4 linked regions of the Tamandua tetradactyla genome follow. The protein of the gene in region 1 interacts with the protein of each later gene in a biochemical or structural test. Links are inferred from orthologs where the notes say so. Each region holds a gene or a part of one and is shown in the gene's direction. Other genes may lie near its edges.

Region 1 (7,367 bases):
AAGACTAGAGATAAGGGATAAAAATTGGTGGTACTATATTACATGAGGCTTGACACAAAGAAAAGGTACTACAATAACTTGGTCATTATGATTTGTCCTTGTCTCAAGTCTCACCTACTTTCTCTTGCAGTACTGTGATTTATACTTGTCTTACTCCTCTTCACTAAAAAGAGGAAAGTGACTTGAGAATTGAGACCCAGTCTTACTCATCTTTGTATCCCTGGTTATATGACACTTGTGTCTATTGCTTGGTCTGTAATAGCCCAATTATCTAATCCTGACATTGGCCTCACCCTTTTCCTTTCTGCAAAAAAGAGGGAGCTACCTGTCAAGCCCATGTCGTTTTTATGGTCAAAATAAGATGTTCTAGTTTAAAACACTTAGCAGAGCGCCTGACAGAGTAGGTGCTCAATAAATGTGAAATTTGAGTCTTAAAGCTAGTTTATATTTATCAGTCTGCTAATTTTCACTAATGTTTTAAGACAGAGTCTATAGATCAGAATGTAGAGCCCTAGAATGGAACCGATTTTATAATGCTCTGGGGAGTGGAAATATAATGCTGTTATTTTGATAATATGCATCTAACGAAGACAGTAAACATTTAGTTTGGCCCAATCTACTATTGATGGATTGATGACCCTTAATGGAAAATAGACCCAAAAATATTTTCCGTACTACCCATTGTTTAATTTTCATTAAAATTCAGTTTTATGTATGAATTTCACAGATATATTTTATTCTATATCAAATGTCTTTGACTACAGCTGTGGCTTGAATGTGTCTATTTCTTCTGAGTGGACTTTTAAAATTCATATTTGTTTTTGAAGATTCCATATGCTACTTGTATACCCTACCTGCCTGAAAATTATTTATGTAGCTCATTTGAACACAAAAGTAATGGGAGGGTTACTTGGTGACTGCTCTTTTTGTTATTTTCTTAATTAAGTGCCATTGGATTGATTTTTTATTAGTCCAGTCAAATTTAAATTTTGCTTGGAAGAATTCATAGTATGTTAATTTTGAGACCTACTCTGTTGCAGGCACTGATTTATTTAAATCATATCCTCTAAGTCTCATAATTACTCTCTTAGATGAAAAAACCCAAACTAAAAGTCCAAAGTAGGTGACAGAGCTTGAATTCAATCCAGGTCTATTTGACTCTTTTTGCCATACTGACCAAAGACCTATGGGCAGAGTTTTACAGCCAAAAAAATCATCTATTCCATGCTGCAGCCCTATTCAATAGCTGCTATTATTTTCTTGTTTTGCTTTCAGTAATCTCCTAACATTGTTGTATCAGCTGAATTAAATAATATACAGGCAAGGTATTTTTGGTTTGTTATGTCTCATTTATTTTTTTTGAGAAGTCATGGGTTTAAAGAAAAATCATGTCAAAAATACAGAATTATCATGCAGTCACCATCTAAGGTATTTTTAAATTGGGGCATTGTTACCTCAAAGTGGACATTTTCACATAATAATGCTATTATTTTCATAAGGCCAAGGAACTGTGTCAGTAGAAAGCTGTTGGTACCAAAAGATCCCCAAGATTCTATGATGGCTTATGAAGAACATAGGAATGAAGTAAAGGGCATTTATTAGCAAAATAAAAATATTACCAAATCCTAACTCACTGACCTTGAACTGCGGGGTGACCGTTCATATTTTTGTGGGTCATGCGTCCCTATTGAGTCATATAATACAAATGGTTTTATGCCGATGAACTTCTTACATGTTTGTTGGCATTCAGGATCCCTGATAGGAACAATTCCTGTGAACGTTTCATTGTAATAATTTAATGAGGGAGAGCACAGTGTAGAGCTTTGGACTGGAATCAAGAAACCTGATTTCTGGCTCAAACTCGGCTATTCTCTATCTGGGTCATAACGTCGGGCAAACTGATTGAATTTCTCTGGAACCCATTTTTCCCTCCATGAAAAACTAAGAGCGAATATGTGTAACCTTCCTGGTATTAAGCTTTGTGAGTCTGAGATTTCAATAGTCGGTTTCCTTTAGCAGGATCACAGAACGGGGAAACTGCTTACTTTACATAAAGCACACCAAGCTTGCTCGTAGGATATCTGTGGGTTACATCCCTTACAGACGTGGCTCACCAATGACTGGATAGGTTACCCAGGAAATCTCTATATAACCAATCTGGAAAAATTAATTGATAAAATCTGAAAACCAAAGAAGATAGCTAGCTATTTTAGAGGTTTCGCATTTCCCGTAACATACCTATGGGTCGGTTGAAAATATAGCCTATGGAAACCCAATTACTAGAGAATTTTAAAAATTACCTGCAAAGACAAGTCAGCATATTTTAGGTGGACTTCTTTGGTTCAAAGATACAATAATTTGAAAAGTTTTTAATTGATCCCTAGAAGTGGTCAGACACGTTAGGCTCTTTTTCAGGTACTATAGGCAATGGGGGGGAAAAAAAGGAAATTCTCAACTGATTTTTCTTTTTGAGAGTTTTACTATTGGGCATTATTTTTCCAGACAAAAGTACCTTTTATACTGTCCCCTAATTACCAGTCAGATATGAAAAGGAAAACTCAGAATTCAAACATGAGTAAGAATATAATATACAGAATACCTATTCAACTTCCAGTAAAATAATTGTAGGCATCTCAATGTCAGACCCCAGTGGGCTTTAAGGATTAATCCATTTTGCAGAAAGGTGAGACATCTGGACCAACTATCGATGGACTACACTATAGGTGAGACGTGTGGACCAGCGAAAGGACCCAGCAGATTTGTGGCTGAGCCCAGGTAAAAGCTTTAGGACTTTAGAATCTGAATCAGGATTTTGAAGATCAATTATACACCAACTGAAGAAAAAAAATATATATATATATATATACACACACACCAACTGAAACTGTTGGTTTCAAGGTAACGTAGTTTCATTCTGTTAGTATTGAAAATCAAGATGGCATAGTGGTTTAAAATATTAATCTTGTATCGAAAATACGTTTCTTTTTAAAATTCTGAAACCAAATTAGAGTTCGTGATTAAAGAAGAATGAATTTCTCTACCAAAAAAGACAAAAGCAAATGAGACGTGTCTGTTTTGGTACTGGCCATCCCCTGTCTTTCTGTGGGAAGACTCAGCTTGCTGGGTGGGTGGTGGTGGAATTTACTTCTAAGAAGACAGATTATTTGTTCCACTAAAAGGCATGTGTCCCATTGGCACATCATTCTTCCCATGTTGTCTGCCCTTTGACTCCGAAGAAACCCTGAACTGATGCAACCACCAGCAGAAGACAAGGTTCCAAGCCAACTTTAATTGCACTTGAAAAATGCAGCACTTCTTTTGGGTAAGGGGAGGCATGTGCTGCAGCAGTCATGCTGGTCGTTAGCAATTATCTCACTTCCTCCAGAGAGAGCACCACAGGGAAATTCAAGTCTTGTCCGAGCAAGAAGATTGATGCTGTTATTGGTCCATTAGCTCTCTCAGCTCCTCCTTGAATAATCCATGTGAGAGGAATGTGGCAAGCAGCTGCCCTGTCATCATTCACATCAATAAAAACAATAAACATGTATTTTTATGCCAACTAGGGACACTGGGCTAGACTTCAGAGATACAGAGAGGAGCAAGATGCTGTTCTTTCAAGGAGCTCCTAAACTTTTAGGAGGAGCCTAAGTTTTAGTAACACTCACTAATGGAGCAACTTTTGAAAATGGGTTGATAGCAAAAGAAAATAAGACTCTAGGTAATATTATATACCGATCCATCCAAAGTTTACATGTAAGAAAAAGAGAGCTTTGAAAGCAGTTTTTAAAATCCAATCTAGAGGATAAAATCCAAATTTAAGTTGTAGCTAAAAAGCAAAATTTTAATTAGCTTTCAAGAATAACCCAACATAAAAGTATATAGATCCTGTTTCATGGTGATCTTTGACTTAAATCATGCCAAACACTGTACAATACTTGGGGGGGGGGGAGAACTTCGTACAGATAAAATACAGTGATTCTGTTAACTATGGGTTTTTTTTAGGCTTTCTCTGCCTTTTTAATAAAAAATCATTCATTTTTTTAAATGATTTTTATTTGTATACTGTACAGTGGGGTCACATTTCATTCTTTTCCCATGTGAGTATCCCGTTGAATTTTTGTTGAATTTTTTGTTTGTTTGTTGTTTTTGTTGGTTTCTGTGTTTGTTTGGGAAGTGCATGGGCTGGGAATCAAACGTGGGTCTCCTGCTTGGCAGCTGAGAATTCTACTACTGAGCTACCCTCACACCCCCCAAATCATTCACTTTTATTAGTCTAGGTGCCTTCTCCTAAAGGTACTGAATTGGAGGAGTTTGTTTTGGGGGACTGAGTATTATTTATTTCCTTTTGGTCAAAGACAGATTCCATAAAGTAATATTGAAGACTAAATATCAAAGAGTAGCTGTCTCATCTCAGTCTAACACTAGACTGTCAAGTGTTTTCCACACTCATGAACCAGGATAGAGTTAAATAAACTTTTCACCCTCTTCATGAATAGTCATTCCTGATTATCCCCATTCTATCTCCTCCTGCCGGTTTGGTAGTATACACATAACCACATACATTATAGATATCCAGAAGTTCATGAAGAGCTGCCTTCCCAACCTCTAGATCATGCAGAGCCCTACATCCCTCAGTAGAAGGAATTGAGTTAGCTTTTGTGCATGGTGCCTAAGGAAGGTGGCTCTTTTACCACCACTCCTTACTCCATAAAATTACCAAGGACTCTCCTTCTAGGGGCTTCTGTACAGAATAGCAGTAGACTTCTATATAGAGGTTTCCTTGGTTAGGTGGAAACCTCCATGATTCCATTCCAATGAAATCATTTTTTAAAGCATCTTATAATATCTTCAGGTTTTTTTATTATAAAGAATTGGATGCTGGGAAAGCTGAAACTATAATGGTAGAAATACTCACATGCATGTGTAATCTCATGAATTTTCTGGTGACCACACGCTGTCCACCAATAAGAAAGACTTTGTTTAAGCAAATATACTATTTCTGATATATATGCATGATAATTGGCATTCAGAAGTTAAAATCAGTTAAGAGATCACTCTTGTAGGTGTATTTGGGATAACTTTAATAAATACACTGAAATATGAACTCATTGAGAACAGGAACCTTGGCTTATTAATGTATTTATTTTCTATGCCTAGAATAATACCTGGAATTTAGTAGGCATTTGACAAATGTTGAATGAACAAGTGATGGATAGATGTAAAATAAATCTTTTCAGTGTCTAAGAACCCAACAAGTCTGTAATTAGATGGAAATGGATTTTACTCAATTTATTTGGCCCAGTTGATTTTGGTCCATTTTTTTCCTATGTGAGCAAATTGTGTTTGAAGTAAACTCACTCTACAGTATTGTAAGACAAAATATTATAATGAAATTTAATATGAAATTTGATCAGATAGTCTGCATTGTATCGACATTTTGTGAGTGGCTTGGGTTGCTTTGTATATTGCTTGGTTTGTATACTGCCATTTAATAGTAAATACGGCTGTAATTTGCCTACCAGACACAAACACATCTTGGAACCTTGAGGAGGAGTATTTGTAGGCAGAATGACACTTTAATTTTTGTTCGGTTTTATTAGAAAGAACGAAAGCACCCTTGACTTTAATAATTTACTTTGATTCACCCAAAATCCAATCAAGAATCTTACACTGAACCACACCCTCAAATATTATGTCATCGTGTCGGGATTACTTTGTAACATAAATAAATTTCCCAGCATTGAGAGGGAAGGAGCAAGGTGTTTATTTAGAATTCACACTGAATATGGCTAAAACTAGTTCTACACAACTAGAAATGCCTCAGCCATTTGGACTGTCAAGAAACTTGCTTTAACCTGAGAAACTGAATGTAGATGAACTATATATATATTCCATGTGGGGAAAATTGGGGTAAGTATAACAGGGTTATTGCCATCTGATTTTCTGCCGTACGTGGGGGTATCTTTTTAAGTCCACAAGTCACTGCAGTTTTATTAGGGCCACTTATGTGACAAGAAAAGGCCTGCTCCCACATTAGGCATTTGGCACAGCTAGCATTTCTCCTTGCCAAAAAGGGCAAAGGCCTTGAGCAAGAAGCCAGCTTTTTCCTGATTACAAAACTGACCACAATTCCTCGCCAGCCTATCAGCGTCACTCTCTGTTTTTTTTCTGGTAACGCGCTATTCTTCACAGAGAGTGAAGAGAGTGGTTTTTTTGGTCTTTGTTTTGTTTTTTTTCATTATGACATGGCACTTATCATTTAAACATCACCTGGTGTTCAAACATCAGCTGATGCAATATTGCTGCATTTGTCACTGATGGATAAAGCTGAAAGTTTTAAAAATGTAAACCCGATAAGTAAAACCTTAGTGAGTGTCAGGCTTTGTCTCCGTTCTCTCGGCTATTTAATTTTATAGAATTTGGGCAGCAGGCAGTGTCATCTGGGACTACGAAAAGCAGTAGAATGCCTTACAGATATAACGTTTCAGTGGCGTGCTGATACCAAATTTATTTATTTTTATTTATTTTTTATTTTTTTATTAATTAAAAAAATTAACACAACATTTAGAAGTCATTCCATTCTACATATACAATCAGTAATTCTTAATATCATCACATAGATGCATATTCATCATTTCTTAGTACATTTGCATCGATTCAGAAAAAGAAATAGAAAGACAACAGAAAAAAATAAAACGATAATAGAGAGAAAAAAATAAAAATAAAAAGATGATTACATATTTGAGTTCCAAAGTTTTCTTCAGATGAGGGGATTCATAATTCAACCAGAAGCTGAGCAGCTAGAAGAAACTTTGTCCAAATAAAGTTACCCGGCATGTCTTAACATGGAGATTTAAAGTGTACCTTTTAAGAAGCATCTGATTATCGAACCACCTCTGTGCTCTGATAATTCTCAAGACTCTATGGTCTGTGCCCCTCACAAGACACTTTGCATGTGGGTCACTGGCCAGACAGTGTGGCAATGTTTTCCTTGTAATATATCAAGTCTTGCCAAAGCAGTGGACAACATTATGACACAACATTTTGTCACAGCTGGCTCTTTTAATAGTTCCTGGCCTGCCAATTCAGGCCTGGTCCTTTTGGTGTTTATTCCCGCCTCTCCCAAATATTTGGAAATGGAGGTCTTGACTCATTGGTGTATTCACGTGTTCGGTTACTGCAAGTCGTCGTCTTCTTTTTTTTCTTTCTTTTTTTTTTTTAATGGATCAGTCCTTTACAAGAAATAGACAGAATATCAGTGTGAATTTCGGCAAATCCCTATTCTTTGCCAGTTATGGGTGAAACTCTGGGTGAGTCTCTCCTTGACTCAGAAAGAGATACCTTCACTGATACACTGTCTGCAAGCA
Region 2 (7,313 bases), on another chromosome or scaffold:
CTGAATTTTATTCTCTTGTAAAGGGCTCCAGTAATAAGAATAACACCCATCTTGGCTGAGGTGGGTCACACGTTAATTGAAGTAGCCTCACCAAAATGTCCTACTTACAATGGGTTCACACCCACAGGAATGGGTTAACTATAAAAACACATTCTTCTGGTACATACCGTTTCAAACCACCACAAGTCTCTTCAACAAATGGGAAAATCAGATCTCCAGTCACAAAAGAATGAAGGTAGTCTCCTACCTTACATCATATACAAAAATCAACTCAAAATAGTTCTGGCTCTTATATTTAGTTTTTTTTTATCTATCAAACTCTTAGAAGAAAACATAGGAAGACATCTTCAGGACCTTGAGTTAGGCAATGGTTTCTTAGACTTTTCACCCAAAGCATAAGCAACAAAAGAAAAAATAGATAAATGAGACCTCACTAAAAATTAAAAACCTTTGTGCATTAAAGGACTTTATCATGAAAATAAAATAACAACTTACACAATGGGAGAAAATATTTGGAAACCACATAGCTGATAAGGGTTTAATATATCGAATATATAAAGAAATCCTATAACTCAACAACAACAACAAAACACCCAATTAAAAAGTGGGCAAAAGACATGAATAAATATTTATCAAAAGAAGATATACAAATTATCAAAAGCACTTGAAAAGATGCTCAATATCAGTAGCCATTAAGGAAATACAAATCAAAACCACAATTAGATGCAGTTTCACACCCACTAGAAAGTCTATTATTTAAAAAACAAAAGATAAGTACTGGAGAGGATAGAGAAATAGATATACTTATTCATGGCTGGTGGAATAGTAAAATGGTACATTGGCTGTGGAAGAAAGTTTGAGGTTCCTAGAAAGCTAAGTATAGAATAACCATATGATACAGCAATCCCACTTTTAGGTATATACTCAAAAGAATTGAAAGTAGGGACTTTTTGCACACCAATATACATAGTGGCATTATTCACAATTGTCAAAAGATGGAAGCAACGCAGTTTCCATCAACTGCTGAATGGATAAACAAAATATATATACACATGTACTGGTTTGAATCTGTTATGTGCCCCAGAAAAGCTTATGTTCTTTTAATCCATCTTTGTGGATGCAGACCTATTGTGGGTTGGAACTTTTGCTTTGGTTGTTTACACGGAGATGTGACCCACCCAATTCTAATCCTTTTCTGGAGTACTTTGAGAGAGGATAAAAGACACTAAAAGCCCAGAGAGCTTAGAGAGAAAACTCCCAGAGACATTTGGAGACAGTCATTGAAACCAGAACCAGGAGAGAAGGACCAGCAGATGTCGCCATCTGCCTTCCCATGTGACAGGAACCCCAGAGGCCAGCAGCCTTTCCCCAGAAAAAGTATCTTCCTGACCATTCCAAAATGGTTCCCTCTTAAAGGACTGCAGTAAGCAACCCCACCTTGAATGGGCAAAGTCAGATCTTCATCTAATCAAAAGGTCACACCCACAATTGGGTGTATCACATCTCCATGTAAGTAATCCAATTAAAGTTTCTGCCCCACAATATTACATCAGGATTAAAAGAGATTTGACTGCTCCCACAAAAATTGGGTCAGGATAAATTCCTTAGGGCAGCTTCAAGCCAAGGGAGGTCAAATGTCTGGGTCAAGGCAAGTGGATGGCAGCTCCACATGCCCTACTTTGATCAGAGATGAGGGACGCTTGTGCTGCCCAAGTATTCAGTTTTTATATACCCACAGGGTGATTGAGCAAGTATTCATCAGGCTACCTTTGTGCCCTGGCAAGCAGCTGCAGTTGGTTGAGATTCAAGATCACCTAGCTGCCTGTGGTCTCTTGCAAAATAGAACATGCCATACACCTGCATGCAAACAAGCAAAAATGGAAACATACTGAACACCTGCATGCAAACAATTGAGAGAGGAAAAGGAGATATTCACTAGTATCTAACTCTCTTGCTCTTTTCACCGACTCCTTTCTCTTCCAACTCAAACAACTCTTATCTCCTCTCTCAGAGCTGGTGATAGTGATGGTGGCACAGTTTAGAAAATGGCAAGTATTCCAATTTGTTTGAGGCAAGATATGGGAAAGCAGTAAGGATGAGTCTGGAAGTTCAGTTAGGTTGTGTCCTAGTTTCCAGGATGCTATGATAAATACCACAGGATGGGTTAGCTTAAACAATGGGAATTTATTATCACACAGTTTGGGGGCTAGAAGACTTGCTTCTCCTGGGGTCAGTAGTATTCTGCCAGGCTGGCAATCCTTGGGGCTCCTTGGTTTTCCCATCACATAGTGATGTCTTCTCCTTTCTCTTCCAACTTCTGCCTGCCTTCTGGCTCATCCCTGTGGCTTTCTCTATTTCTTTTGTTCATCAAGGACATCAGTAAACTTGATTAAGACCAATACTAATTCGGTTGGCCACACTTTAACTACAAATAACATTTTCAAAAGTCTTATTTATGATTAGCGTGCACCCAAAGGAATGGGATTATAGTTAACACTTTTTTTTCCCTAGCCTACGTAACACAATCTTCTGTAAGTAATAAGGGCTAATAATCATAGAGGGACTGATAAGTGAGCAAATAAATTTGGGATAGGTCTCTGTACTGTAAGGATGGTTCTGGATCACCTTATAATGATATATAAATATTGAATGTCATTAAGTAGAACTTCATGGTGGAGTAATTTATGGATACTAGATTTGAAAATCTGCTTAGGAAAGAGAGTGGTAGGTGGAGAATAACTGGGAAATTGTTAGGTCTTGTGGGAAGACCGATTACTAGAATTTGCGTTCACCCATTGCCATTCAATGTATTCTTCCAGGATCATATCCTAACAAAGCCTTTCTTGATCCCATGCCACTCTCCTCCAACGTCCAGAACTCTTCATTTATACTAAAAAATATAATTAAAAAAGGCACTTAGGAGCAATCTTTTTTTACTTTAATTTCTTACATTACTTGGTACATAGGCTTGTTTTACCACCCTGTTCCTTATACGCGTGGACATTTTTTAGTGAAAATGTGCGTTCTGTTACAGGATGGAGAAGAAGAATAATATTGAAGTCATGAATTAGTTGGACATCAGTTTTGAGATTTATTTTTATTTTTTTAAAGAAAAATGATATTTTGTTCAATAAAGTTTTTTTGCAATCATTGGATTTTAATTCATAAAATCCCTGGAAAATGCACTATAAAGATTCATTTAAAAAGCAAATCATTGACATTAAAATGTAATCATTTTCATTGGAGAAATCATCAAAAAATTTCCCATTGGCAAGAAAAAGTCCCCGTTTAATCTTCATACTCAAATATTCATCATACTGGGTAAATTCAGGTGGTAAAAATCAATGCTGCCTTAGTGGTTTTTTTACACAATAATTTTCCACCCTTCTTGTTATTCTCTTGTTTGTTCTTCACTGCCTTCACTTCATTCTCCTTTTACCCTAACAGGAACCCCATTTCCAGTAGTAGTAAAATAAGAGTTTTTGAAGCAGTTAATTAATGGCATTGAGTAGATACGATGGAGCTCCGCCCCGTAGGAGGGGCAAACACAAGCAGATCGAATTAAGTGGTTCGTCGTTAACAAACGAACCCTTAATCTTTTCAGGAGAGCTAAACATCCACAAAGGCCCAATCAGAGGCCGCAGTTCTCGGAGTTCGAGGGGGCGGAGCTGGACACTTGCCCTCCCACCTCCCAGCCTCCCGCGGGGGCCGAGTGAGCCTCCCGGGCTTCGCCCGGCCCCACCCCTTCGCCAGGCACGGCGGCTATTGGCCGGTGCGCTCTTTGCGGTCGCCTCAGTTGCTGGGAGAGGGAGGGCGGGGGCGGGAACTGAGGTAGGCAGTGGGGTAGGAGAGAAAGGCGGGTAGGCAGCGGAGCGTGAGGGAGGAGGCTAGGGTGGGCCGGGCGGATTCCGCGAGCACCGCGGCGGTTGGCGAAACGGAGGGGGCGCAGCCTCCCGGTGCGAGAAACGGTCCCGGCTGACAGATCCCGGTCTTCCGGCTGCGCCACCCGGGAGGCGGATCCCTGGGGCCTGAGGAAGCTTCTTCGGCCCGGCTCCTCCCCTCCTCCCTCTCGCTCCTGAGGGTCTACAGAGCGGTCTCTGAAGAGAAGGAGGAGGTCGTCGGGGGCGGCGGCGGCGGCGGCTGCGGGCGGAGACCGCGCTCGCCCTTCTTCGGCGGCGGCGGCGGCGGCGGGGGCAGGACAATGGAGGTGGCTGTGGAGAAGGCGGCGGCCCCGGCGGCGGCGGCAGCTTCGGCGGCCACGGGGGGGCCCTCGGCAGCGCCGAGCGGAGAGAACGAGGCCGAGAGTCGGCAGGGCCCCGACTCGGAGCGCGGGGGCGAGGCGGCCCGGCTCAACCTGTTGGACACTTGCGCCGTGTGCCACCAGAACATCCAGAGCCGGGCGCCCAAGCTGCTTCCTTGCCTGCATTCCTTCTGCCAGCGCTGCTTGCCGGTGCCCCAGCGCTTCCTTATGCTCCCTGCACCGATGCTGGGCTCGGCTGAGACTCCGCCGCCCGTTCCCGCCTCTGGCTCGCCAGTCAGTGGCACATCGCCGTTCGTCACCCAAGGTGAGAGCTGACCGTGGACGCGTGGGGGAGCCCGGGCCGGGGAGGCGGGCGCCTCTGTGCGCCGGGACCCGCTGTCACGTCGCCGCCGCCGGGGAGCTCGGCGGGGGAGGGGCGAGGAGGAGGGTCTGTGTTGGCGGCGGTGACATGGTGGGCCAGCGCGCTCTGCAGCGTTCCGCGCGTTCCGCGAGCAACTTCCGTGGGTGCTGAGGACTTGGCAAAGCTGCTGCTCCTTTTGCTTCTGAGCATTCTCCTCCAGGGTTGGGTGGCCCATGTGACCCGGACTTTTGTAAACCTCTCGAACTGTGCTGTAGTCTGTATCTCGGGTTCTTTGCTGCTGCCCGCTGTATACCGAAAGCTTTGTCCAGGTCCATCTGATTCTAATCATCTCCTATATACCCACGTTATTTGAACTGGAGTGGGGAAGGGAGGAATAAGGATTAAGTGATGCGGTCTTTATTTGATGATTGATTGTAGGTTGGATGCCGTCTATTTCCTGTTTTGTGTATTTTGGGTTCGTTACCTTAATGCGTGTCTAATTGTCTTCTCTCCCCTCTGATGGGACAAAGGAACCAAGAGACGGTGTTTTGTCTTTCCCTTTCAAAGGTTTTATTTTTAGAAGGTAAACGGTGAAGAAAAATAGAACAATCCAAAGTGATTCGGGGCAGAGATTCTCCAGTATTTTTAAGACAGCAGCTGGAAATGCTTAAGTTACAGTTCTTTTTGTGGTGTTTGTTACTGTATAATGAGACTTTTGACAGGTAGTTCCCGTTGCTCGTGTTAACAGGTTTGAAACATTTAAAGTAAGTTATAAGCATAGTAGTTACTTGTTTCTAATAGAATGCTTGAAGTTTTTAAAATTTTAATATTGAAAATACTTGAGCACTTTTTAAAAATACCAAATAACTGGAAATGGGGAATTATTTTAAATATGCACTTCTTAGAGAGAATAGTTGAATTAATTTGAGAAAATGCTAATTAAATAATTGAGGTCAAGTGGTATATAAAATTGAGGCTCCAAAGAGATTGTGGTCTTAGAGTCTAATTAATTAAATATCAGGAGCTGTGCTAGTTGTGAGAAACACCATGGATCTCTGTTTCTGCACGTCATGTCTGTGAGATACGCCCTTTGTTTCATCTTGTTTTTTTTTCAAGGATATTTGGAAAATAGAGAATAGTGGCACATATGTTTATTGTCCACATAAAAGACTGAGGTTCCCTAAGCATAGGGTTCCTCTTCTGTAACACAACTGCTGCCTGTGCAGGTGTCAACCCGCCCTCTTCAGTTACCCTCTGGGAACTGGGGCTGGGGCAACCAGTGCAAAAAATGCTCATGTTTGGCTTATGCTATTGTTTTAAGTAATAAACTGTTCTTCATTACTTCTGCCAGCATTCTACCGTGATAGGCTATTTCATTAACTTGCAAGTAGGGTGCAATTACAGATCCTTCACACTAATTTGCTCTTCAACATTGAAGTGGCCCACCTCTTGAAAAGTTAGTACAGGTTAAAGTTAAATCTTAGTTCTTAACTTTTAGATACATTTTAAGGTTTCTTTTATTTAAACTTTAAGTGGGAAAATAGTCTGGTAACCAATTATGATCTGAGATTTGCATCACTTTAGAATTAAGATTTATTGTGTGCCCGGCAGTGACATTTAGACCTGCAGAATGAGAATATGGGTTATAAAAGCTCTGATGCTTGATTCTGAGACAGGTTTGCAAATTTAGACTTCTCAAAATAGTCTACATAATTCTAATCTCCAAATATTTTTTATCTTTGTGTTTGTATTGAAAGCAAGAGTTCAAGGAAAGTAGTTAAATTGAGAGATACTATTTTTATTATGTACTCTAGTGGAAGACTAAGAAAAAGGTCTTTAATAAATTATATTTTAAAAGACACCTCTTAAAAAGGGTTGGTGTTATCTTCAATGAATTAAAAAATGTTATCCTGATCTTGCTGACTTGAGTATTTTTCTCTTTCTCCTTGCAAACAGATTTTAATACTAGCTGAAGCAAAAGTTGAGGTGATGTATTTCATAACTAAATAAATGGGGTTCATTTGATCATTTCTACTCTTCATTATCCTGAACAACTTGTGGATTCAAGGCATTGTGAGTTAAAACTACAATACCTACAGAGACTAAGCACAAAATTGAGATGGTGAACAATGAGCCTGGGGGGAAGGTAATAGGAAAAGATGGAGAGTGAAAAGGCAGCAAAATGTACTTAGCTCAGCAGTAGAGAACAGGACCAATGTTGAAGGATATATATGTATGTATGTATTATTTTTTTAAGTGAGAAGTCTGTGTGTGTGTGTGTGTGTGTAAAATTTCTCTAGTATTAGGTATTTGTAGATAATTAAAGAAAATGTATAGATATAGGTCCGTACTGTAGGCCAAACAAAACAGCTTTTGTTGCAGCCCCTTACCATGTTGGAGTTTGTACTCTTCCTGTTTAGATTTAGATACAGATTTTCAAACTCTAGTTCTAGTAGAATCACCTTGTATTCTTGTTAAAAGTTTACATTTTCAGTCCCCTCTCCACAGGGTCTAATTCTACTTAATTTGGAATAGTTTAATATTTCTAGAGTATAATATTAAAACTTGGTTTTCTTTATAATTCAATCAGTATTGTTCCAGAATACAGTTCATTCGTAAGAGGATTCTTTAGAAAATTAAGATCAAATTTCAGGGTTTAGAGTAGTAGTACTCAACACTGTCAGAGCTAGATCTTCTTTCTATACAATATTT
Region 3 (7,942 bases), on another chromosome or scaffold:
CACATTTCTGTGAATATACTAAAAACCATTGTATTCTGTCTGTTTGAATCTGTGATGGACCCTAGAAAAGCCATGTCCTTTAATCCTCATTCAATATTGCTGGGTGGGAGCTTTTCGTTGCTCCCATGGAGATGCGACCCACTAAATTGTGGGTGGTAACTTTTGATTAAATGGTTTCCAAAGGAGAGGGGAATGGTTTCCCCATTCAAGGTGGGGTTGCTTACTGGAACCCTTTAAGAGGGAACCATTTTGGAAAGAGCCATGAGAGCCCAAGCAGGCAGAGACCTTTGGATATAAAGAAGAAAAACACCCTCCCGGAGAGCTTTATGAAACAAGATACCAGGAGAGAAAGCTAGTTGACTTCACCATGTGCCCTTCCAGCTGAGAGAAACACCCTGAATTTCATTGGTCTTTCTTGAGTGAAGGTAACCTCTTGTTGGTGCCTTAATTTGGACATTTTCATAGCCTTGCCTTAAGTTGGACATTTTCACGCCTTAGACAGTAAACTTGCTTCTTAATAAATTCCCCTTTTTAAAAGCCGTTCTGTTTCTGATATATTGCATTCTGCATACCCCAGCAGAAAATTGTACATAGGTTCATCCAAAAACATGTACAAGAATATTCCGGTAGTAGTATTAAAAATAGCCCTAAAGTGTAAACCTAAATGCCTGTCATGAGTGCAATGGATAAATTGTGGTACATGGAATAATGAAATGCTATGCAGCAATGAAAGTGAACAAAATACAACTACCTGCAACATTATAAATGAATCTCAAAAATAGAAAATTGAGGAAAAGAAGCCAGATTCAAAAGAGTACTTTATGTATGATCCCATTTATGTAAAGTTTAGAACCTGGCAAAGCTAATCTGCAGAGTTAGATGTCAGGATATTGTTTGCCCTTGATGGGTATGGGTATGTTCTATTTCTTAATTTGAGCACTGATTCTTCATGTATGATCGCTTTCCAAAAATTCATCAGGTTTTCACACTTATGATTCATTCACATTTATGTCTTTATACTATAGTCTAAGACAAAGTTTTTTTTTTTTTCCAAAGGACAGGAATTTCAGAATCTTCTTGAAAATAGGTTTTTTAGTCCTAAGAATCTCTTTTCATTAGTTTTTGATACTTTTCAATTTTTTCAGTCGTGTAGTTATTGCTCTGTTTTCTTCTATTTTTCAATCTTCTTATTTCTGAAGGGAAAGGCATTGTTGTCCATATTAAGCTTTTATGTGAAGTAGAAAAAACTGACCCTATCCTCTCGGGCATTTTATTTCCATTTGTCTGAAAATTGTTATGAAATGATTTCGTATTAGCAAGGCACTATACTGCCTTCTGCTGGTAAATTAGCACAATAAATGTACAGATCTACAATGCCAAGGTGCCGCCCTCTTGTAGCTTGCCCAGCTAAATGTGGGAACCCTGTTGTTTGGCACTGTTAGGATAAAGCCTGTAGACAACAGAATGTTGGTGCTCTTTAGGTGGCTTTGTTATGGATTTTTTCCTCTCTGTTCTTATTTTCTTAAAGACGTCTTTCAAGAATTCACCACCAGTCTTATCACTACAAAGCTCAAGACCATGCAGACACCTAAATGAAAGTAGAAGTTCAAAACTGCTAATTAGTAAAACCGCTTATACCAAAGAAAAATTGATTTGCATTTTCTTTACCCACGTCTGAATCCAGAATAAGAAACTGGGTATCTCAGGACTGCTTGTTTTTGCTCAAAACACTGCAAAACAGCCAGATACCTTCTTCAGGGGCCTCGTTCAATCTGGTGTCTATTGAGGCTGTCATCGTTCTAGGCACTCCTCTAAGCATTTTAGATGCATTAATTCATTTAATCCTCTTGAAAACCTTATCTACCCTTATTATCTGCATCTTGTAGATGAGGTAACTGAGGTACAAAACATTACAAATGGCAATATTACAAAAATAGTCTCCTTGGGGAGCTTACACTTTACTAGGGGTGTGTACACACCCTCCCCCCCCCCATCAATCATATTTAGATTAAAAACAAAGAAGGGAGAATATTCTGAACTCTGTTGGACAAGTCATTTATCTCCCTTTGGTCCAGTTTCCCTATCTATATAATTAGGAGGTTGGATTTATCCAAGATCACATAGCTAATAAACAGCACAGCTAGAATCTGAACTTGGATATTTTGGTTTCAGAGCCCAATCTTGTCATCATTATGTTACATTGTCTGCCAGCTCATGACCTGTTACAGTTCAATGCCACCCTGCATATGCTCCTTCTCTTTCCACCAACAGGATGTGTAGGTGCTCAAGTGGGCCCCTCTCTCCTCTGCTCCCTGCTTCCTGCCTGATCTAAGGAAAACACATGACCCTTGGTTAAGGACACCAATAAGATAATGAAGAATGAGGTAGTCACTCAGGTTCTGGAATCCTGCAGACTTTTCTTACCTTTAGAAGCTTCTATGGGACTAAGAGGTCAGCTTTTGGACCAGCTGATGGCAGGACCCCTGTCTCAGCAGGATGGCGTGGTCACATCTTAATCTTTCAAATTAATGAATTAATCGAGAAATTCATAAACTGTATCATTATCCAAATAGTCATTCTTTAGTTATGTTAGATTTCTAGGCTAAATACAAAAAGTGTATACATTGTATAGTTCTTCTATCTTAAACTCAAGAATTGTAAAAATTAATCTTTGGTGCTATAAGTCAGAGTAGTGATTTCCTCCAGTAAAGGGAGAGGACACATGTGAGGATACAAAAGAGGACTTTCTGGGTTGATAGTGATGCTCTGTAACTTGACCTGGTAACACAGGAGCATAGATTTAAAAATATGTATTAGGTATTACACTTAAGATTTTTGCATTATATCTCAATTTTAAAGAGTTAAAGAGCTTCAAAAATGTTTTCCAGCTTCCTTTAAAGTTCCTTTGGAGTTAATTTGATAGGCTGGAAGTATGTGTCCCCTCGTGGTTCTCTTTGCTTTTCTCTGTCCTTTTGGGATCCAACATCTATCCTGGTGGCCAGGATTCATACACACAACAAACATTTATTGAGTACTTACTCTGTGCCAGGTGCCGGGCACCGTGCTATGTACTTAGAACACAACAGTGAACAAGACGATAAGGTCTCCCTCTTTGTGGAATCCACAGTCTAGTGGTAAACCATCTAGTGCATTCTGCATCAAGGACAAGCACATGGTGCTAAGAAGACTTTTCTGGGGGGTGATCAGGGAGGGTATTCTTGGGTTAGAGAGTTTGAGCTGGAACCTGAAAATTGATGCATTACCAAAGGGCAGAGAGTATTTTAGGCAGAATGATCCGCATGCGCAAGGGTCCTGAGGAAGGAGGGTATCCTGTGAAGAATTTAAGAAAGCCACTGTCATTGCAGCCCAAAGAACAGAGAAGAGGGCCTTAACCTGGAGAAGGGAAAGGGAGGCAAACAGAAAGATATTTATTGGGTTTTTATCTTAAGAACAATGCGGGGCCATCAAATAGGGGAGTGATATGATCAGATTTCTGACTTAGAAACATTACTCTGACAGCAGGGTGAAGAATAGAATGAGTTGGGCCACGGAAGATGTAGTTATATGGTGTATGCTCAATAAATATCTATGGAATTAAAGGGGCCCTGACTCCTTTTTTAGACGGGACCATTATTCCTGAGCTGTGCAAGCAGCTTACAATCTACCTGCTCATCGTCTATCTTCTGTGATGTTTATGACAGACTCACCTTCCTTTTTATTTATTTTATTATTTTTTTAAACATGGGCAGGCACCGGGAATCGAACCAGGGTCTCCAACTTGGCAGGAGAGAACTCTGCCTGCTAAGCCACCGTGGCCCGCCCTTAACGCCCTTTTTATAAATGGGGAAATTGAAGTTCGGAGAAGCAAAGAAAATAACACAACTGTCAAGAGTAAAAGATCAGAATCCAGGATTGTAAAACATCAAGCCCTGTGCAGAAGCCTCCTGACATTTGGGGAGAGGGGAGGGAGCTGCACTCACTTGTTCAGTCAAAAGATATATTTATTAAGCACTTACTCAACTTGCTATCATGGTGGTGATGGGGAAAAGCAGAGAGGGACTTACAGGCAAATAATAATAAAGGCTATCCTTATCATCATTGATGATATTATTAGACACTAAGTGCTAAGCACTGTGCCAAGTGCTTTCCACACCTTCCCTCATTTCCCCTTCGCAAACATTAATATTATCTCAATATTTCAGATACTTAAACTGAGGTTGGGAAAGGTAACTTGCCCTAAGACATTTAGCCAGAGCACTCCCAAAGGGTTGTGCAGTGCTTCCAAAGTAGGATCAAGTGCCCCTGGTGAGATTTTGGTGCTGGTAAGCAGACAGAAACCCATGGGATTTCAGGTCTAAGAGATCCACACCCACGCGAGCCAGCGCGGGCTCCGCCCAGCGCTCCCAAGGACGTTTGATCACGTGGACAGGGCCCCGCCCCTTGGCCCACCCCGTCCCCTCCCGCGCTCCCTCCCCCTCTCTCTCTCCCTCCCTCCCTCCCCCTCCCTCCCTGGCCCGGTCCGGCCCATCCCCCTCCCTCCGGCTCCCTGAGGCCCAGCCGGGTCGGGCTGCTGGCGGCCGGGCGCGGACCGCCGGATAGACGGGCGCGGGCGAGCACGGACGCACACACGCACGGAGGGCCGCGGGCACGCACGGCCCGGGCTGGCGCTCCGAGGCCCGCCCGGGAGGGCCGGCGAGCTGCGCTCAGGTGAGGCGACGGCGACGCAGGCCCGTAAGGGGTGGGCCTGCCGGGCGTCTATGGCCCCGGCCGGCTGGCTCAGCTGGGAGGAGGTACTGCTCCGGCCCGGCGCGGGAAAATGGCGGCGACCGACCGCGGAGCGCGGCCGTAGTGCGGGCTCTGCCGGGAGCCGCCCCGCCCGCGCGTCCGTCCGTCGGGCTCGTGTCCCCGTCGCCATGTTGGGGAGCGGGCCCGGGGCCTGCGGGCGGGGGCGCTGGAGGGAGCTGGGGCCTTGCCTGGGGTGGGGAGGGTGCGGGACGCGGGTTCGGGAACTTGAGGGAGTGCAGTGCAGGGCCGAGCAGACGCCTGCATTGGGTGGCGCTCCGCGCCTGGAGAACTGGCCGAAGCCGGCCATGGGGCCGTGACCGGGGTTGTGGAAAAGGGACACAGGGTCCAAATGGAACCTGGGTCGAGGTCCACGCGGCTGCGTGCGCGCGCCGGACCTGGGGCAGGGTCAGGCCATGGGCGTTGTACAGGACCCCAGAACAGGTAGGACCCAGAGGTTGATAGGGCCGGCCGAGTTCAGGCTGTCAGGACTGGGACAGTTCTCTGGAGGAGGAGCGACCAGAAACAGGGACCCTTGGAGGACAGAATTGGTTATCCTATTGGAATAGCCCTCGGAGCCCCGGGGCTGAATTGCAAGTCCATATAACCCCCAAGGGACTGAGGACTTTGGTGTCCCCAGGATCCCCCAACTCCTGTTGAGGGGGAGCAACAGAAAAAGGGAAGGGCTTGGATAGGAATAGAAAAGAGGGAGGCTAGGTTAGATACAGAAGCTGGTGAGCAGAAGGGATGCAGAGAGTGGAAATAGTTGGCAAGGAGAGAGAGAACCTCCATAAACTTAGAGAGTTTGTGTGTGTCTTTAAAAGGAGGGACTGGGCGGTTGGAGGGTGGTGACACAAGGTATCTTCCCAGGAAGGGGACAGCCCACTGCTTAAGAGCAGGGTCACCTGGGGAGATTGACATCAGAAATGTGTTATTGAAGCCAGTAAAAATGGTGAAGAGACGTGAATGTGTAAAGAATTTTAAGGGCCTTAGAGATCATGTAATCATTTCAGATCATGTAGTGATTTTAGTTGAGACATTGAAAGGTAAAGTTGACTTTCCAAGATCTTGCAGATTAGTGATAGAAGGAGGACTAGAACTCAGGTCTTTTGCCTCCTCATTCAGTGTACTGCCTTAGAGGAATTTGCTAGCTGGGAGAAAAGTGTTTAAAAGTCAAGGATGACATTATATATCAGAGAACTGTTAATGATTTTATTTTGGTTTTGTACTGAGTTTGTCATTGCAAAGGCTGTTATACAAAAAAGTATGGGTGACTTGATATTTTCTAACCCACCTTCTAGCAAAGAAGTTGTTTTCAAGATGCTTTTGACCTTGGACTTTCTAGAATTTTAAGAGATGATCCTTTTCTTCTAGGTGTTTACTGTGCGGTAAAGTGACACAAAAAGTCTAAAAATATAACAGTGAATAATGATATAAATCCAGGATCTAGTTGAAGTTTGATCATGCCAGAGAAGAGGACAAAGATCAGATGGGCTGTGGTAGAGTTCTGAGAGAACCTATGCAAATCAGTCATGATATAGTAGGTCCAGGGCCCTCATTAATAAAAAAGGACTTTCCACAAAAAGATTATTGGAGCATTCATAACAGTAAGATTTTCAGTACAGTATGTGTGCTCAGTAATATTTTCCTTGTTCTGGATTTTTCCAGTGCCAGGGGATCCTGACTTTTTCTGTGCATGGATCCCTTTAGCATCTGGTGAAGCCTAGGAACCTGTCTCAGAATAATATTTTTAATTGTGTAAAGTAAAATACATAGGCTGCAAAGGAAACCAATTATATTGAAATACAGTAATCAAAATAGATTGTTGCCAAAGATGGAAACAGTCCTAGTGCCCATCAGCAGTTGAATGGATAAACAAAATGTGGTATATACATACAATGGAATACTATGCAGCAGTAAGACGAAATGAGGTCCTGAAATGAGGTCCTGAAGTGTATGACAGCATGGATAAGCCTTGAGGACATAGTGCTCAATGAAATAAGTCAGACACAAAAGGATAGATTACTGTATGATTTTGCTTTTATGACCGTGGTAAAGGTAAAATCAGAGACTTATAATATAGAATATAGGGGACCTAGAGATACACAGAACCTTGAGATATCTAATGAGGTTGAACTCAAATGTAAGGGAATGAATAGAAGTGAAAACAGTTCACTAGTGGATTTATAAGTAATATTACTACATTGAAGGTGAACATGATTGAAAGGGATTGTATAGACTCATGTGTCCCATGGATTAACACTACAAATATAAGTTCTTGTATGAACTCGTTCAAAGGTATGAATCTTGTACAGAGAATCAATAATAGAGGGGTATGGGGGAAAACTACTATTGCATGCTGTTCTAGTTTGCTAGCTGCTGGAATGCAACACACCAGAGACGGATTGGCTTTTAATAAAAGGGGATTTATTTTGTTGGCTCTTCAGAGGAAAGGCAGCTAACTTTCCACTGAGGTTCTTTCTTACGTGGAAGGCACAGGATGGTCTCTGCTGGTCTTCTCTCCAGGCCCCTGGGTTCCAACAACTTTCCCCGGGGAGACTTCTTTCTGCATCTCCAAGGGCCTGGGCTGAGCTGCGAGTGCTGAGATGAGGAATGCTGAGCTGCTAGCAGTGCTACGTTGCAATCTCCCATTTAAGCACCAGCCAATTAAGTCAGACGTCACTCATTGCAGCAGACACGCCTCCTAGCTGACTGCAGATGTAATTGGCAACAGATGAGGTTCACGCACCATTGGCTTATGTCCTCAGCAACAAGACTAGGTATGCTCACCTGGCCAAGTTGACAACTGAATCTAACTAACACACATGCTATGGTCTATATGTAAGAAGAAGAGGTCAACAGTACCACAACAATACCAGAGGTAAATAATTGGGGTGGGAGAGGGGAGGACAAGAGTTAAGCAGAGATTTGGATTTCTATTTGATTAGGGTGTGTTTATCAGTTACTTTTCTCTTTCGAGCAATGAAAATTGTCTAAAATTAAGAATGTTGATGACTGTACAGTTGAGTGAAGATAATGTAAAACATAGATTGTTGACTTCAAGTTTTATACATGATGCCAATGGATGGAGGTTGCTGAAGGAAGGATACATTGACTGAGAAGCAGAATGGCAAGCTGTGGTGTATACATATGATGGGGT
Region 4 (7,338 bases), on another chromosome or scaffold:
AAGCCAATCCATTTTTGGTATAATGCATTCTGGCAGCATTTTAGCAAATTGAAAACTATGTATTTATTTCTTTATTTTGGTGTGTACTGATGGCCTCCTATTTTACTCAGTGGGTTACAATCTGCAACTATCATTATTTATTTTGATGCTCAGATTGTCCCAGATTAGGCCAATGGGAATTCCTTCCAGTTGGAGTCTATGTCCTTTTGCCATGTCCCCATCATTCTTTGAACACCTCTTTGTTTTCTGGTGTAAAAAGTATTTACTTCTCCAGCCCCAGCCTTGGAATCAATCAGTACTCCAAGAAGCTCTGAAGGTCCCTAGTTCTGTTGCTGTGAACATGAGCCAATGGTATATGAAGCTCATCTATTGCAGATTACATCTGCAGTTGGCTAGGAGGTGTGCCTGCTGCAATGTATGATGTTTGAATTAATTGGCTGGAAGCTTAAATGTGAGAGCTCAATGCAGCTCTCTGCCCAAGTAGCTCAGAATACTTCATCTCAGCACTTCTCAGCTCAGTCCAGGCCTTTGGAGATGCAGAAAGGAATCACCCCGGGGAAAGTTGTTGGGACCCAGAGGCCTGGAGAGAAGGCCAGCAGAGATCGCCCTGTACCTTCTCGCAAAGAAAGAACCTCAGTTGAAAGTTATCTGCCTTTCCTCTGAAGAACTATATGTTTTTAACTAAGTAAATCCTCTTTTATTAAAAGCCAATCCATCTCTGGTGTGCTGCATTCTGGTAGCTTTGGCAGACTAAAACAGATTTGATACCAGGAGTGGGGTGCTGCTGCAGTTTGCAAATACCAGACATGCTGGAACAGTTTTTTGGATGGATAAGGGGAAGATTTGGGAGGAACTGTGAAGAGAATGATGGAGAAGTCCTGGAGTGCTTGAAGAGACTGTTGGTGTAAGTGGAACCACTGCCAATCTGAACAAAGTGGGACACAAAAAGAACAAATTGGAGTTTGCAGAGTGAGAACCATGGAAGCTTAGGTCTGAAGCCAAGAAATCTCAGGCCAGGAGAGTGAACCCACCTATATACATGGAGAGAGTGAATTTTCCCTGAAGGCAGAGGATGAGTCTCCCACCTCATTGCAGTGGAAGAGTTGTGTCACCTCAGGCTTTGGAGAAGGTACTCCTTGGGAATTGGGGAGAGCCTGGCTACCATCAAATGGAGGGGTTGAGCGTGTGCCCCAGAAATGGCAGAGCCCAGGTGTGGCCCCGATGCTTGGAGCCAAGAAAAAGGTGGTCTCCTCAATGTCCCCTGAGGTTGATTCAGAAAGAGGTGGGCCACCACATAGGCCCTTGGAAAGGGTGGGATTGCCACTTTGTAAAGCCAAAGGATATATGACTTTCAGACTTTGAAATCCAATGGAATTTGCCCTGCAAGTTTTCAGAACTGTTTGAGTCTTGTGACTCCTGTGTTCCCTCCAATTTTTCCTTATAGAAATGAAAACATGTATCCTGTGACTGTCCTTCCTTTGCATATTGGCATCAGATAACTTGTTTTGAGATTCATAGGTCCACAGCCAGAAGAGATTTTTTGCCACTTTAATATCGTTTAAAGTGATATGTATAGTTGCCAAGTTGACAAGGGGTAGACATGTGGTAGTTAGGTTCAAGTGTAAACTTGGCCAGGTGTAGGTGCCTAGTTCTGTTGCTGTGGACATGAGCCAATGGCATATGAAGCTCATCTATTGCTGATTACATATGCAGTCAGCTAGGAGGCATGTCTGCTGCAATGAATGATGTTTGATTTAATTGTCTGGATGCTTAAATGTGAGAGCTCAGTGTAGTACAGCCAAGCAGCTCAGCATGCTTCATCTCAGCACTCACAGCTCAGTCCTGTCCTTTGGAAATGCAGAAAGAAATCACCCCGGGGAAAGTTGCTGGGACCCAGAGGCCTGGAGCGAAGGCCAGCAGAGATCACCCTGTGCCTTTTCACATAAGAAAGAACCTCAGTTGAAAGTTAGCTCCTTTCCTCTGAAGAACTATACATTTTTAACTAGATAAATCCTCTTTTATTAAAAGCCAATCCATCTCTGATGTATTGCATTCTGGCAGCTTTGGCAGACTAAAACATATGGGGTTATGTAGGAGAATGTCCTTGTTTGTAGGAATTATACACTAAAGTATTCAGGGGTTATAGGGCAAAAAAAAAAAAAATAGCAAAGTATTCTCAAACGGTGAAGGAAATAAAAAAGCTTCCTTCTACTGTACTTAGGACTTTTCTGAAAGTTTGTGAATGCTCCAAAATTAAAATTAAAATATCATTGACATATGAAGAGCTAAGCAAAGATTATGCAGCTACAAAGTGTAGGCAAATTGATCAGGCAATTGATGAATAAAAATATTTTATTGTTCTCCTAGTTTAGGGATGTTTGTGCCTTCTGTCAGTTTAATTTGTAGTGATTTATCTTCTCTTTGTTAATATTCACCTTCACACCTGATTTTCAATTCTTTTCTTACAGAAGGCCCTCCAAACTGTGTAAGTTTCTAGCCCCACAAAACCAATATCCTCTCTTGAATGTTCTGCCACACTTTAAAAATGAGAAAATAGTGATGCACAGGTGGTTAAATGGTAGAATGCTTCCCTACCATGTGGGGGACCCAGCTTCGATTCCAGGCCCATGCTCCCCTACCCCCAACAAATGAGGAAACTGAGGACAAGGAGAGAAGTGAAGTGGCTTGCCCAAGGTCACTCATTAGGAAGTGATGAAGCCAGGATTTGAACCCAGGCAGTCTGACTCTAGAGTCTCCGTCAGTGGGATGGTGTGAGGATCCAGTGAGGTAGGAGGACATAGAAAGAACTTAACAAATGAAAGGAATTAAGATTATTCACAAGCAAATGAAAGATATTTGCCTGTTTGTGTGCTGGTGCTTAGTTCCTTAGGGAGAGGAAAAGAGCAAAGTCCCCAAATGAATGCCCAAACTGCTTAGAACTTGACATCTAGAACCTCACTTGGTCCTCACAACAGCTCTGCAGACAGATATTATTGTCCCCAAAGAAACTCCTGAGGTCCACAGAGGTCTGAGGATCAGTTCAAGGACATAGCTAGTATGTGATGGACCCAGGAGCAGATGCCAGGGCTGGATGATGCCAGAGCCTATCACTCTCTGTCCAGGGCACCACACTGCCTGGCACTGTGGTAGCAGAAGTTTGCCAGGCTGGACATGCCAAAGTCCAGGGATGTGACACAGTCAAGGAGACTCATGCTCCTTCTCATACCATATGTCTTACCATCTGAGGACAGAGGACCCAGGGGATGGGCAGAGCAATATTTCCCTCCAGATCACAAGTGGGCATCACCTATAGACCAGGAAGCAGCTAGGTGGGGGCCCAGGTAGCCACCAGCTCTGAGAAAGTCAGGTAGCATAGCTCTGGCTGCATGTTGGGTCAGCGAGTACAGAGGGACAGCAAGGACTTCGGAATCAGGTAGATCCAGGCTCTGACCCTTCCCAGTTGCATGACCTTGGGCAAGTTGCTTCACCAATTTGAGTCTCACAAAGTAAGACCTTTGCCTCATAGGGAAGCTGTGAATATTTACATGGGAAGTGCCTGGCACGTAGCAGATCCTTGATAAAGAGCAGCCATATTTCATTATCGATCCATGAGGACTTCGTGGCAGACATGTCCTTTTAGGAGTTATAGGAATCTAGGCTGGGGAGAAAGTGTTCTGAAGGACCTCATTTCTGCAGGGCACCCAGAACTGGAGTCAGAGAAAGGGGACCCCTTGATTGCATAGTGGGCATAATCTTCCCAGCCCCCAGGGTCCTGGCTCTCTTCCTGGCTCTCCTCCTGACAGCAGGAACACGTTCCCAAGGCTAGGCAAACAAACCAGTGATAAGGCACTTCCTGGTTGGGCCTTGCATTCAAGGCTTCTCCAGCTCTGCTGGGACTGGCTTCCCGGCTTAGGAAGAGTGCTGGGTTTTTTTTTGTTTGTTTTTTGAGTATACAACAGGCTTCTCCACTTTTGGGGCTGGCTTCTCAGTTTAGCAAAAGCCCTGGTTTTCTGTGCCTAAAAGAGCAGGCACCAGTTGGGATACCTGTCATGGCCACCTGCTGATTGTGCACCTGAGACCTTGGTGTCCTGGTACAGCCTGGGTTAATGACCCTTTATATTCTCTTGAGTCATCCGATAAGGGGCAACGGGCCAGCGGGCAGGCAGCCTGTGCCCTGCAGTGGCCCCTACATTGACTGAAGCCATATCAGCGCCACGTGGAGCTTCTACTGCCCTCCTCCCCCACCATTCCCCGCCAGTCCTGCCAGGGTCAGTATGTTTTTTTTTTCTCAATGAACATGACTTCTGGAGTCAAGGCTATTGGGGCCGTTCCTTCCCACCCCCCACCCTGAGGGATATAAATAGCACCCACAGTACAGAGCAGAGGGCAAAAGAGCCAGGAGAAAGAAGGAGCAGATTCTGAAACATGAATTCCAGCCAGCCAGGGGCTTGCCCATGTCGAGGTGCTGCAGGCCGCCCAGCCATCCTGTATGCACTTCTGAGCCCAAGCCCTGGGGCCAGGCCCTCAGTCCCAGCATCCCGTAGCCACTGCCTGTGCAGGCAGCACCGACCCGTCCGCCTGTGTGCTCCCCATCGCACCTGCCAGGAGGCCTTGGACGTTCTGGCCAAGACAGTGGCCTTCCTCAAGAACCTGCCATCCTTCTACCAGCTGCCCGTCCAGGATCAGCAGCGCCTGCTGCGGGGCTCCTGGGGCCCCCTCTTCTTGCTTGGGTTGGCCCAAGACACTGTGACCTTCCAGGTGGCCGAGGCCCCAATGCCCAGCATACTCAAGAAGATCCTGCTGGAGGAGCCTGGCAGCAGTCGTGGCAGTGTTCAGCTGCCCGACAGGCCCCAGCCCTCCCTGGCTGCAGTGCAGTGGCTTCAGTACTGCTTAGAGTCCTTTTGGAGCCTGGAGCTGGGCCCCAAGGAGTATGCCTACCTGAAAGGGACAGTCCTCTTCAACCCTGGTGAGCTCCCAGACACTCCGGGATGGGGGCCAAAGTGGAGGGAGGACTCATCCAGGGAGGGTACCTTTGAAGGGCTTGACATCCATCACCTCTTTGGTTCCCCATTATCGTTAAATATTCATCACACAGAAAAAACTCAGAGAGAAGTGGGAGGGGAAGATGAGAAGAGAAAGGGGAAGACTGTGTGGTGAGGTTCTGAAGGTAGAACTCCATAGGTCTGGAAAGACCACACAGACAGGAAGAACGAAGGGGGTGTAAAAGAGAAAAGGGAGGGAGTCTTAGTGAAATGCACCTAGGAGAGCAGCAGATGGAGACCATGTTCTCTATAATCTGGAGAGCATCTAAGATAAGACTATTCCACCAAATGGCCCCTGTGGAATGCTTAAATTATAGCAATTGATTATAATAATACTTATTATTATAACTGAAATAATTATAATAGTGAACACATATTATACTTACTGTATGCTAGACCTTATTTCTAAGGGTTTTACATATACTAAATATCATTTAAACATCATAACAAGCTTAAGAGTAGGTATTATTATTAGCCCCATTTTATAGATGAGGAAACTGAGGCACAGAGATTAAGTAACTTGTCCACAGTCGTGCACTAAATAAGGGATGGCACTGGGATTGAAACCCAGGTAGTCCGGCTCTTAACCATTACTCTATGCTGCCTCTCCATAAATGGATGATGAATAAAAAGATAAATGAATAAATGAATGAAGTAGGAATGGGGCCTTAAAAGCTGAGCAAAGAAGCAGGGCAGTGCCTGCTGGCAGCCTCAGGTCTCGTCCCTTGGTGGCTAGGAGTGGGGTGCTAACCAGCCTTCTCACCCTCTCTGCCTACAGATGTGCCTGGCCTCCACGCCTCCTCCCACATTGGGTACCTGCAGCAGGAGGCTCATCAGGCACTATGTGAGGTCCTGGAGCCCCAGTGCCCAATAGGCCAAATCCGCTTGGCCCGTGTCCTCCTCATGGCCTCTATCCTCAAGTCATTTCCACCCAGCCTGCTCAGAGACCTCTTCTTTCGCCCGGTGATTGGAGACACTGACATCACCAGCCTCCTCGAGGATGTGCTTTTGCTGAGGTGATCTGCCCCGGCCCTAGCAGAGATCCAGTGTAGATTGTGCAGAGGTTGGCAATGTTAATTCAATCTGGCTTGGCCTGCCTGTCCCCAGGAGTGACCTGATGCTCCTGGAAGGACTAAGCCTGTATAGCCAGCACTCAGCCCTCTAGGATCAAGCTGAGCCTGGCTCAGCCAGATGGCCTGTGGAGCCCCTCACTCCAGCCAGGCCCTATCTTGGACTTCCCTCATTTGGACACAGTGCTTCAGCCAACTGGCCAGCTCTTGGTGATCCCCAGAGTCTCTGGACCAAGACTCCTGTCTCCTCCTGGGATATGGAGGGCTTAGGTTGCTCATAGGCCAGAAGTCCTACTTACTTTGTACAGAACTGACTTAAATTATTACTTTTTGTAATAAAAGGTGTGACACTTTGGAGCCAGACATTGTGGTTTGTACATAGGTAAAGAACCACCTCACCTCCAGGGCCCTTCCTGCCCCTATGAGTAGGAGCCCAAGGGAAAGAACCCATAATGGGTGTAGGAGCTGGGTCTCAGGGAATCAGGGTATTAATTTCTCAGAGTGAGATGATGATTTCATTTCTGAGGATGAGATGCATTTTGCCTCTGCTTGTGAACCCAAGGGATAGCATCAGTTCCCAAGCCCCTTACATATCTGCCTTTATCCTTGGTGGGGGAGTGGGGCGGGGGGAGGATTCTCCCTTATCTCCAACCCCTACCGACTCTTCCCTGGTCCCATCCCCTACAGGCTTCCATTCACCTCAGTGAGTCTGATCATGGTCAGTCAGGAAAATGAAGCAGCCCATTCCCAAATTGAAACAGAGACGCTCACTGGAATTTCTGCAAGTTTGGGACAATTCATTCCCCTACCCGACCCCCATTCCCCGTAGTCCATAGAAGAATGTGCCATTTTTCTCCTAGTTGTGGGGAGTGTGTGTGGGGGGAAAGTCTCCCTGGGCTGCCTAGAAGCTGCTTAGAGGCCAAGGCAGGCTGAAGTTTAGCTGGCCCACAGTGTTACAGCTACACAAGTTGTTAAGAATCTGAGATGCCTCCATGAAGTTTAGCTGGCCCACAGTGTTACAGCTGCACAAGTTGTTAAGAATCTGAGATGCCTCCATGAAGTTTAGCTGGCCCACAGTGTTACAGCTACACAAGTTAAGAATCTGAGATGCCTCCATGACAGGCAGTTAACAGCTCCCTCCCTGGGTCCCCTTCTACTGCCCTTCTGCCCCAGCCTCTGTCCCAGGATCCTCTTCCCAGACATTCCCATCATCCAGCTAGAGGTAA

What was found.
Region 2: the proteins of PPARG (region 1) and TRIM24 interact in a test that uses a peptide from one of them, tested with the Homo sapiens proteins (2 studies listed by BioGRID). The link is inferred for Tamandua tetradactyla from reciprocal best matches to the Homo sapiens genes PPARG and TRIM24.
Region 3: the proteins of PPARG (region 1) and NCOA6 interact in a test that uses a peptide from one of them, tested with the Homo sapiens proteins (2 studies listed by BioGRID). The link is inferred for Tamandua tetradactyla from reciprocal best matches to the Homo sapiens genes PPARG and NCOA6.
Region 4: the proteins of PPARG (region 1) and NR0B2 form a complex in vitro, tested with the Homo sapiens proteins (2 studies listed by BioGRID, with this or other methods). The link is inferred for Tamandua tetradactyla from reciprocal best matches to the Homo sapiens genes PPARG and NR0B2.

Annotation. Positions count from the first base shown.
Region 1 is NC_135335.1:36,552,082-36,559,448, reverse strand, and holds the start of PPARG (peroxisome proliferator-activated receptor gamma), read left to right. Parts: upstream 1-4,212; 5' UTR 4,213-7,294; coding exon 7,295-7,367. UniProt on the Homo sapiens protein: Nuclear receptor that binds peroxisome proliferators such as hypolipidemic drugs and fatty acids.
Region 2 is NC_135327.1:181,411,389-181,418,701, forward strand, and holds the start of TRIM24 (transcription intermediary factor 1-alpha), read left to right. Parts: upstream 1-4,201; coding exon 4,202-4,565; intron 4,566-7,313. UniProt on the Homo sapiens protein: Transcriptional coactivator that interacts with numerous nuclear receptors and coactivators and modulates the transcription of target genes.
Region 3 is NC_135327.1:17,839,141-17,847,082, forward strand, and holds the start of NCOA6 (nuclear receptor coactivator 6), read left to right. Parts: upstream 1-4,518; 5' UTR 4,519-4,707; intron 4,708-5,612; exon of another isoform or gene 5,613-7,663; intron 7,664-7,942. UniProt on the Homo sapiens protein: Nuclear receptor coactivator that directly binds nuclear receptors and stimulates the transcriptional activities in a hormone-dependent fashion. Coactivates expression in an agonist- and AF2-dependent manner.
Region 4 is NC_135328.1:199,327,165-199,334,502, forward strand, and holds NR0B2 (nuclear receptor subfamily 0 group B member 2), read left to right. Parts: upstream 1-4,396; 5' UTR 4,397-4,425; coding exon 4,426-4,966; intron 4,967-5,820; coding exon 5,821-6,062; 3' UTR 6,063-6,573; downstream 6,574-7,338. UniProt on the Homo sapiens protein: Transcriptional regulator that acts as a negative regulator of receptor-dependent signaling pathways. Specifically inhibits transactivation of the nuclear receptor with which it interacts.